Saccharomyces cerevisiae S288C: one gene and its partners. The gene in region 3 interacts genetically with the main gene of each other region. Each region holds a gene or a part of one and is shown on either strand. Other genes may lie near its edges.

Region 1 (3,888 bases), on a different chromosome or scaffold from region 3:
CTTTTATTTAGCCATTTTATGTGACCTGTGCCAATACGATTCAACAACGCAAAATACAAAGCAGGATTATCGGATGTACGAAGCTTCTGTAGAGTAGTCAGTACCACATTTAATCGTAAATTTACATTTTGGAGCTTATCTTCATTCAGTTTATCTTTTCTTGTTAGCGCATCCTTCAACCATTTATCAGTTATTGAGTTAGTTCTTTTGTTATTTGGTAAACGTTTATGCGATGATGGCTGTCGCCCTAGCTGTGGTAGTATTTCAGGAGTGATTAAAGAGTCCTTAATCAGCTTACCAATATGACTAGACGAATATCTTTTAAAAAGTAACTTCATATTCTTCTTGGCACACTACTATCATTTTTTCTCGCCGTTTCTAGTAGAAAAGGGCAACTTTTACTTAAAAATCATACAATTGACTTACTTTTTTTTTTTTACACAGATACCTTTTTATTTTGAACTACGCGCAGTTTGAAAGAGGAAGAGATAATCCTATGATTACTCCAAAACCTTCTTCTTTTTCGGTATTGCCTGAGAAATGATAACACTTTTGGGTAACTTCCTTTTCCAGTCTGAATTTATACTTTCTAGTTTAGGGCCTTCGTTATTGCACAATATCTTTTTGTAATATAATCTCTCTAATTGACTTAAGTGTTTTGCAATCCAAATATGTTTGAGACCTTGCTTACTATTTAATCGTTTAACTACGTCAGTTTGCAAAAGGTCTTTGACAAAACTCTTGGCATTATCTGAAACAATATCCCACTGCTTCAGTTTGAAATTCAGCTTCCCAATTTTTGCATTTTGAATAATACTCCTCTCAGAACCATCTCCATAAAAAGGCGAGATCCCTGTTAACATAATGTGTGTAATGACACCCAAAGACCAAAGATCACATTTACTGTCATAACCTCGTTGCTCTAACGTAGCTGCTCTTGAGAAGCTTTGATATGCTTTTCTGTTTGCTCTGAATCCAACTTCTGGAGCGCAGTATTCCGGAGTGCCTACGACAGTATGCATTCTTTCTTTGTTGGAATTTAAATCTTTAGCTATACCAAAGTCTGCCAAGACGATTCTAGTGCACGGTTCTGGCGTACATAACAAAATATTGTCTAGTTTCAAATCGCGGTGAACAATGTCTTGATCATGAAGGTAGTTTAAAGCTTGCAAAATTTGAAAGACGATCAATAGCGATTCAGTTTCTGACATGGAAGTTAGACAGTCGCCTTTAGCTAGGTAAGAAAACAAATCACCACCAGGGATAAGATCCTGGAATATGTAAAGGTGATTGTTCCTGTCACAGAAAGTATGGTAGACTTTGATAATATTTGGGTGATCCAGTCTCAAAAGGATTCGAGCCTCTTTATCGAATTTATTTGGTTTTAGTTTAATGATCTTCACAGCATAATTTTCAGGGTGATAACAGACATCTTCATCACGTTCTTTTGAGTTATGCGTGATCAGAACATGACCGAAAGTGCCATTACCCACTATTCTATTTGTTATTTCCCATTGGTCTACTTCCCTCAGAAAACCCATTTGATCTAAAAGTTTTGGGTCCAGAGAAGATTGTAAATCATCATTAATCATAAAAACTAGTCGTGTTTTTTTAATGTCATTTTCTTCACTTCCCTGCGATAATTCAATAACGTCGCAATGTTTTAAAAGATACGTTTTGTCCCTTTTCAAAAGCAAACCGTTCAAATACGTTCCATTAAGAGAACAATCTTTAACGTAGAACATTGGAATACTATCCTCATCAAAAAAGACACACCAAAACACGCAATGAACAGAGGAGATAGAGGGATTCGTTAGAACGAGTTGACATTCCTTATCATTTCTCCCAACTTTCACGAGCTGATGCTTTACTATAGGTATTGTCTGCTCTGTATTATAGCCGCCTACATTAACTTCCAGGTGAGCAGGAGCTACGCCACCTGCCATCTCAATATCATCTTTGGTTGCAAGGTTGCAGCTATACAACGGTCTCATTCCGCTCTTCTTCTTTCTGTTGTATATTTGGTCCTTAATAAAATTTGAAACGTACAAGAGCACTCCAGAAGGAGCTCAAGTAAAAAATTAGTCAAACCTCTCCCTTTTATACTTGAATGAATGAAATAGCCGCCGAAATTTAGCCGCCATCATTCTTCTTTTCCCCGGCTAAATTACCACGGTATGCTTTATGATTGGAAAATACCCATAAAGTAGGAATAAACTACAAATGATTCCACTTAATGAAAGATAAGCAGACAAATATACTGCATATAAGTGAAAAATAGTGAGGAGATCGCTATCAGTCAATATTGTGAAGGACCTACCTACTCTTTTTCTAGATATATATTTTTTATTTGCACAGGACCCCTCTTGCATAATTGTTCCTACTAATACGGTAGGTAGCACACAATTTTACACCACTTGCTTTACAATCATACCTCATAGGGCCTTCTTATTCTGATAATGCCCCTTTTAGAATGGCTAAACTGCTTACGTCCCGCTTTCTTACGCACTGCGCGCAACATGCAGGAAGAACAAACAACCTCGCCCTGTTTCCATAATGAAGGTCCTTGAAATAGAAGCCCCACAAAAGGGTGGAAATGTGGCAGAATAAACAGTAAGCTAACTGTTGTAGAGACTCCAAGCCCTGGTAAGGAAAGAAATATTATAAAAATAAAAGATTTCAACACAGTATTTTGATGTCTGAGCCAAACACACCATTACATGCTCAACCGAATGAGCAACTGGACTTGAACAACTTAAATGATCTAGATGAAAAAGACATTGATGATTTAAACTTGGATCCAAACTCAGATGTAGAAATTAGTGCAGACTCAGGTGATGTCGTAAATTCTAACATAGACAACGTTATATGGCAGCGTAATTGTAATAAGAAAAGAAGATATCATACACCAGAATTCAATGATGTTTACAATGAAACTAACAACACAATCAACGACGTAACTATGCTCGATGATGTTGACGATTTCCAGCCTAGAATAAACGTGTCTTCTCCCTTTTCGTCTGCCACAAAGCTGAGTGAATTATTGCCAAATGATCACAATGGAACGTCACACCCGAGAAGATTGTCAATGTCTCAACAATCCAAATTCATCTCTTACGTTGATGATCAGCTTTTACAAATTCAAAGAAAATTTGTTCAATCCAGGGGCCTGAATATCAAAAACGGCTATGCCAGTCTTACTCCGCTGCTGCAGGATTTAAAAACTTTAGTTGACTTCGTTTGGTATTCTATTGCCCATGTTCCAAACTCAGACTATTTACTTCAATCAGAAGAAAAGAGACATTGCCCAGATTCCCGAAACCCAAAAGATACATGCGGATATTCTAGTTATTTTGGTCAAGGGTCCTATTTAATAAAAATTGCGGACGATCTCATCGATTACGTTGAAAAATTTACATTCAAAAATATGGAAGACTCAGAGATTAATGACACTTTATCCAAATTATTCAAACTCTTCTTCATCCTTGACAGGATATTTGTAATTCTAACTGATGATAATGATAATTGCAAAGAAGTCCCTAAAACGTCTTCAGCCAGCAAGAACATAGCAGGATTGAATGGGACTGATATTGTGAGGTTAAAAGGTATCGCGGAACGAACAAGAGTTCGCCTACCCATATTTTTGGAATCCCAGGGTATCCATGGTTACCATTATGAATTAAGCAAGATTTACGAGGGATTTTTAGACCATGCCAATTCATTTTAACATTTACATTCAACCAGTGGCGTGTATCTTTTATACAATAAATCTGTAACTTTTAAAACTTCTGTTTCCGAACTCCTCATTTTTCATGCATAAATATATAAATATATATATATATATATATAAAGCATACATTTCAGTACCATGGGGTATATGATCCTCCC
Region 2 (4,374 bases), on a different chromosome or scaffold from region 3:
CGTATGGGGCGTGCATGTGACTGTTCATTATTGCAATGGGGCGGGTTCCTGTGTTCAATACGGTGATTGCTATAGATTTCCCTACGTACCAGTCGCCACGGAACACCGCACTCGGTCTACCGTTTATCGGGAACCGGTAAAGAAAGGTCGACTCTATCGGGACCTTGGACAGTATGGCCAACCCAGGCCCCGTCAGAATACCAGAATGGAACAAACGCTGATACGGATACTTGGAGGCACACGCAGAAGCTAGATACTTCCAGTCTTCCACACACCAGATTTCTTGTAAGGCAATCACGTCGTAATCTTCGTTTTCATTACTATCTCCACCATTGGGCAACAACTCGTCAGATATTGGCGTAAGCATTGAGTGGCCCGCCAATTTATCAGCAATTGCTCTGAGTCTTTCTTTACGGTGTTTGGAGACGTATTTTAACCCCCATGTATTGAAGGTCAGAAACTTTATGGAATACGCTTTACTATTATCGGACATAATTGCGTTGGTCCCGTTCAGTGCTTCAAACTCAGATTGACCATCTTCCTTCCTCTCGTGAACATCTCTGTCTTTTCTGTTGTACATATATCTGCTTTTTTTCCCTTTTTACGCGGAAAGCGCAAATTTCCTCGAAGATTTAAGCCAAACCAAAATAAATCAAACCAAACCAAAACAAAACAAAAACAAAAACAAAAACAGGCTAAGCCGATTCAATTAAAACCGCTCATACGTATACAACACATACACACATACAAGAATGGCCAGCATAGACGCATTTTCGGACCTTGAGCGCCGGATGGACGGGTTCCAAAAGGACGTGGCCCAGGTACTGGCACGTCAGCAAAACCACGCGCGCCAACAGCTGCAACAGTTCCAAGCGGAAATGCGTCAATTACATAACCAACACCAACATCTCATAGATGAACTGCAACGGCTTGCCACCCAGCGCACCGCTCTGCAGCAACAAATACATGCGGCCCAACAAGCTACAAATACCACCAGAGAGCAGTGGAGAAGCTATCACGAGCGTGAATCTGAGTTATCTAGACGGCAGTCGACCTTAGCAGCCCAATCGCGCGAGCTGGACTCGCTGCTGCAACAGCGTGGTAAAGAGTGTGTCCAATTACGCGCACGTTGGGCTGCGCAGTCGGGTAACGATGCCGCAGAGGTCGCACTGTACGAACGGCTGTTGCAGCTTCGTGTACTACCCGGAGCCAGCGATGTGCATGACGTACGTTTCGTATTCGGCGATGATTCACGCTGCTGGATCGAAGTCGCGATGCACGGAGACCACGTGATCGGAAACTCTCACCCGGCGCTGGACCCCAAGAGTCGGGCAACACTTGAGCACGTGCTTACCGTCCAGGGCGACCTCGCGGCATTTTTAGTCGTGGCCCGCGATATGCTTCTGGCATCTTTATAACGCCTTTATACGCATCTGTTCAGTTTATTCTGGGCCTATGATTTAGATGAGGAATAAATTGGTTCTTACTGTCTATACATAACTTTTACAAGGACCCATTCTATATTAAAGGAGATTAACGCAGTCTTCAAATAAAGGCATCATCCACTTATTTTATAATATACTAAGTGATGATGATGTGGCAACGATATGCAAGGGGTGCGCCACGCTCATTGACATCACTCTCATTTGGTAAAGCTAGCCGCATATCAACAGTGAAGCCAGTGCTTCGCTCGCGCATGCCAGTTCACCAGCGTTTGCAGACGTTATCTGGTCTGGCAACCAGAAACACAATACACCGTTCTACCCAAATACGTTCCTTCCATATCTCATGGACAAGGTTAAATGAAAATAGGCCAAACAAAGAGGGTGAGGGCAAGAACAATGGTAATAAAGATAATAATAGCAATAAAGAAGATGGCAAAGACAAAAGAAATGAGTTTGGTTCATTATCAGAATACTTCAGATCTAAGGAATTTGCTAATACGATGTTTTTGACCATCGGATTCACAATTATATTTACTTTGCTCACACCTTCCAGTAACAACTCAGGAGACGACTCTAACCGCGTCTTGACTTTCCAGGATTTCAAAACAAAATACCTGGAGAAGGGTCTTGTGTCCAAGATTTACGTCGTTAATAAGTTTCTCGTAGAGGCCGAATTAGTCAATACAAAGCAAGTTGTATCGTTCACCATTGGTTCAGTAGATATTTTTGAGGAACAGATGGACCAGATCCAGGACCTCTTGAACATTCCTCCTCGGGATCGTATCCCCATCAAATACATTGAGAGATCTTCTCCCTTCACATTTTTGTTCCCCTTCCTGCCCACCATCATTCTGCTTGGTGGCCTTTACTTCATAACCAGAAAAATAAATAGTTCACCACCAAATGCCAATGGTGGTGGTGGAGGAGGCCTCGGCGGCATGTTTAATGTTGGAAAATCCAGAGCAAAGCTCTTCAATAAGGAAACAGACATTAAAATTTCATTTAAAAATGTTGCCGGTTGTGATGAAGCTAAACAGGAAATCATGGAATTTGTTCACTTTTTGAAGAACCCAGGTAAGTACACTAAATTGGGTGCCAAGATTCCACGAGGCGCTATTCTTTCTGGACCCCCAGGTACCGGTAAGACTCTCTTGGCCAAGGCCACCGCAGGTGAGGCGAACGTGCCCTTCTTGTCAGTATCAGGTTCTGAGTTCGTCGAAATGTTCGTTGGGGTGGGTGCTTCACGTGTAAGAGACTTGTTTACTCAAGCAAGGTCTATGGCCCCCTCGATTATCTTTATAGATGAAATTGACGCTATCGGTAAAGAAAGAGGCAAAGGCGGCGCTCTCGGTGGCGCTAACGATGAAAGAGAAGCTACGCTGAATCAATTATTGGTGGAAATGGACGGATTCACTACTTCCGACCAAGTCGTAGTCCTTGCGGGTACAAATAGGCCCGATGTGTTGGATAATGCTTTGATGAGACCGGGAAGGTTCGATAGACATATCCAAATTGATTCTCCTGATGTCAATGGTAGGCAGCAAATATACCTGGTTCACTTGAAAAGACTGAATCTGGATCCCCTTCTTACAGATGATATGAATAATCTTTCTGGGAAATTGGCTACGCTTACTCCAGGTTTTACTGGTGCAGATATCGCTAATGCTTGTAATGAGGCTGCATTAATCGCTGCCAGACATAATGACCCATATATCACTATCCATCACTTTGAGCAAGCCATTGAAAGAGTCATTGCGGGACTAGAGAAGAAAACAAGAGTCCTTTCTAAGGAAGAAAAAAGGTCAGTGGCCTATCATGAGGCAGGACATGCCGTTTGTGGTTGGTTTCTAAAATATGCGGATCCACTTCTGAAAGTAAGCATCATCCCGCGTGGACAAGGTGCTTTAGGCTATGCCCAGTACCTACCACCGGATCAATATTTGATATCTGAGGAGCAATTCAGACATAGAATGATCATGGCTCTTGGTGGCCGTGTTTCTGAGGAGCTACATTTTCCATCGGTGACTAGCGGTGCTCATGATGATTTCAAAAAGGTTACACAGATGGCAAATGCCATGGTTACATCCCTAGGAATGTCACCCAAGATTGGCTACCTGTCGTTTGATCAGAATGATGGAAACTTCAAAGTTAACAAACCCTTCAGTAATAAAACGGCAAGAACCATTGATTTAGAAGTTAAATCTATAGTAGATGATGCACACCGAGCTTGTACAGAATTGCTAACCAAAAATTTGGACAAAGTCGATCTTGTCGCAAAAGAATTGCTACGTAAGGAAGCAATTACTAGAGAAGACATGATTAGATTATTGGGTCCAAGGCCATTCAAGGAAAGGAACGAGGCTTTTGAAAAATATTTGGATCCAAAGAGCAATACCGAACCGCCTGAGGCACCTGCAGCAACAAATTAAAGGGGAAATAAAACGGTGGCTTCTTCATCTCACTTTATATCTTTACCTGATCCCCCTTCCAGGATCCTATCTTATTTTCTCATTCTTTTAGTAATAATATACATGTATATATATATATTGATAACGAGTAATAAAAAAAATAAAAAAAAATAATACATATTCGAAAACAATACTGCTTTTTAGTTCTCAACTTAAAAAGTTTCCTCGTCGATGATCAAGTTGTTGCTCACGCCAACCTCACCTTCGTCGTTCTGCATTATCACATCATGGTTACTACCTTCGTTACCATTGACCTCGCCATTGCTGTTCGCATAGCCGCCCTGATTCGGCACAGTTCCATGTTCACCCAGATTTTTATCATTCAATTCATCCTCACCATCATTCATTTCAAATCCTTCTGCAGTAGCATATAAAATACTTTCCACCTTCTTGACGAACCGTAATAATGCTCCCCCATTTCCATTACCATGGCCGGTGATGGTCTCATCATTAAATTTATA
Region 3 (2,537 bases):
GTAAAGCACAGTCGCAATGGTCACCCCAAGAGAACCTAAGAAGAGAACCACTAGAAAGAAGAAGGACCCAAATGCCCCTAAGAGGGCTTTGTCCGCCTACATGTTTTTCGCTAACGAAAACAGAGATATTGTTCGTTCTGAAAATCCAGATATCACATTTGGACAAGTCGGCAAGAAGTTGGGTGAGAAGTGGAAGGCTCTAACGCCAGAGGAAAAGCAGCCTTACGAGGCCAAGGCCCAGGCCGATAAGAAGAGATATGAATCCGAAAAGGAGTTATATAACGCCACTTTGGCTTAGGGATACTTCCTCCCCGCGTTTTTGTCTGTGTGATTTAATTTCTTTTCCTCTTGTTCTTTTTGAAACTTGCTTTATTATCTCTCTCCTTTCTATTCCTCTTTTCTCTACTGCCCTTTTTCTATATCTATACATATGATTAAATAAATAAATAAAAAAATTGTATTATTAATATATATTTTATCATCATCGAGTGTTTTTCCTTTTATGTGGCCAGCCGGCCATGCATTAGGAACGTAGACCGAGTGCAGCTCTTTTCAGTCAACGGCAATATCAGTTTAAAGGCGTCCCCTTCATTCAAGTAGTAGCGGAACATCCGTTTCATTCTGATGAAACCCATTCCTTCATATAAGTTTAGAGCCGCCGAATTTTCCACCTCTGTTTCTAACATGATCTCATCGCAATGTTCCCTTTGCATTTTATCTATGGCAATTTCCACTAGTTTCTTTGCTATGCCATGCCCGCGGTATGTGGACTCTACGGCTAGCATTCCTATATATCCTCTCAGTCTCACGTTTCTATGCGGGTCCATCTTACACACTATGCAACCAATGGGTATGTTAGGCGTTCCACTCTTGTTGTCAACGGCAATGTACGTTAACTCGGGCCATTGGTTCAAGAAATACCTATATACGTATATCGAGTACGGCTCTGATAGATCCGCATCTATTAGTTTTTTAATACTAGCAAACTGCTCTTCGTTACGTATGTCCAATGGCTTGTACACTATTTCCATGTCCTGACCCAACGCCTTTTCTGTAGTAGTGGCTTTTTTATCTTGTAATCTCTTGTGAAACTTTGTTCTTCATGATTATTATTTTTAATAAGGCTTGCCATGGAGAGCCTTTTTATCGCTTTTGGCTACCCGGTTTCTTGGTAGGAATGGAACTATATAATAGCGATGCCCTTATTTGAGTACCATTTTCTCAAATCAGAACCAAAGTAGTCCTCCTTTGAACAACGATTATTTTAGTGTACTGTTGTTGTTCGGAAAGTACTTCTTTTATTTTCTTTTATACATCATGGCAGACGCTGATGAATATAGCACTGCACCTACCCAGCAAGAAATAACACCACTGCAGACAACAGCCACTATCATAAATGCAATATCTGGAGAATGTATAACTACGAATGTTGATTTTTTCGTTTCCCTGGACAAATTTAAACAGTTCATTGCTAGGAAATGGAAGATTCCTCCCGATCAGCTGCTGATTCTACTACCTTATGGTAACAAACTAAAACCGTCGATGTTTAAAGAGCTGCTTATTAATAGGTCTTTTACTCTAAATGATTTTTACGTTTACGACAGACGACTATTCTCACTTGTTAGTAAACCGACACCAACAAATCTTTTAACGTCTAAGGATTCTAATCCCATGAACTCCCCTAATTCCAACGACTTGACAGAGACTCTGGAATATTTAATTAAGAATAGTCATATATCTCAATACCAAGGTAGCGATACTATTATGATCAAGCCTATGCCCTCGCCTTTGGAGGACGCAGACGTAGATCTTTCGCGTTTAAATTACCATTCCGTAACTAGCTTACTGACGACGAACCTTGGTTGGCTAAGCGCTTTAGAAATAGATGTACATTATTTTAAGAGCCTCATACCAGACATAATAGCCCATATTAAGCGTATTTTTGATGGCTTAACCGTTTGCTCACAATATTTGAAGCTGTACTGCTTTGATGTAGAAAGTTTGTATAACTCAAACGTTCAATTTTTAAATCAGCTGGTAGACAATGGTATGACTTCAAAATGGGAAAAATGCTTCAATGACACCTTGAGTAAGTTGACTGCTTTAGAGGGTGATTCTTTACAAAAGTTCATTAATATTGAATCTCTCCTGGAGAACGAAAAATCTGTAAAGATTCTAAATCATTCAATCAATGGTAAGCTGAATAAAATTAAGAGGGAAATTGACGAAAATGCAAGTTTTAGAGATATTATAACAGTAAACATCGATCGACTGCGGCAAATGTTTACCCCGAATGAATCTAAATTCGAGCTTGAAGACCAAATGGCAGAGAGCTTTGAGGTACTGGTATCAGAAATGCGAACAAGAAGCAGAAATGTACTTGATAAAGAAGAAGAAGAATTCAATAGTCAAGAATTTTTGAAAAGCATGAATGTGATGTTGGAAAAGGATAAAAAAGAATCAGTGAAAACTCTCTTCACTATATCACAAGCGCTGTATTCACAAATAGGAGAACTAATAGATTTAAAAAAAAGTCT

What was found. Genes that interact genetically often act in the same process or in processes that back each other up.
Region 1: mutations in MAK3 (region 3) and MEK1 together harm fitness more than expected from each alone (negative genetic interaction), as found in Saccharomyces cerevisiae (3 studies listed by BioGRID).
Region 2: mutations in MAK3 (region 3) and AFG3 together harm fitness less than expected from each alone (positive genetic interaction), as found in Saccharomyces cerevisiae (2 studies listed by BioGRID).

What each region holds. Positions count from the first base shown.
Region 1 is NC_001147.6:994,518-998,405, forward strand, and holds MEK1 (serine/threonine protein kinase MEK1), read right to left. Parts: upstream 1,995-3,888; coding exon 501-1,994; downstream 1-500. Other genes in the region: MNE1 (Mne1p), read right to left, coding at 1-338; TFIIH complex subunit TFB6, read left to right, coding at 2,696-3,727. UniProt on the Saccharomyces cerevisiae protein: Probable protein kinase required for meiotic recombination.
Region 2 is NC_001137.3:189,003-193,376, reverse strand, and holds AFG3 (AAA family ATPase AFG3), read left to right. Parts: upstream 1-1,588; coding exon 1,589-3,874; downstream 3,875-4,374. Other genes in the region: ISC1 (inositol phosphosphingolipid phospholipase), read right to left, coding at 1-580; kinetochore-associated Ndc80 complex subunit SPC25, read left to right, coding at 753-1,418; microtubule-binding protein BIM1, read right to left, coding at 4,066-4,374. UniProt on the Saccharomyces cerevisiae protein: Catalytic component of the m-AAA protease, a protease that plays a key role in proteostasis of inner mitochondrial membrane proteins.
Region 3 is NC_001148.4:663,454-665,990, reverse strand, and holds MAK3 (peptide alpha-N-acetyltransferase MAK3), read right to left. Parts: upstream 1,032-2,537; coding exon 501-1,031; downstream 1-500. Other genes in the region: YPR053C (uncharacterized protein), read left to right, coding at 1-203; NHP6A (high-mobility group nucleosome-binding protein), read left to right, coding at 17-298; autophagy protein ATG11, read left to right, coding at 1,318-2,537.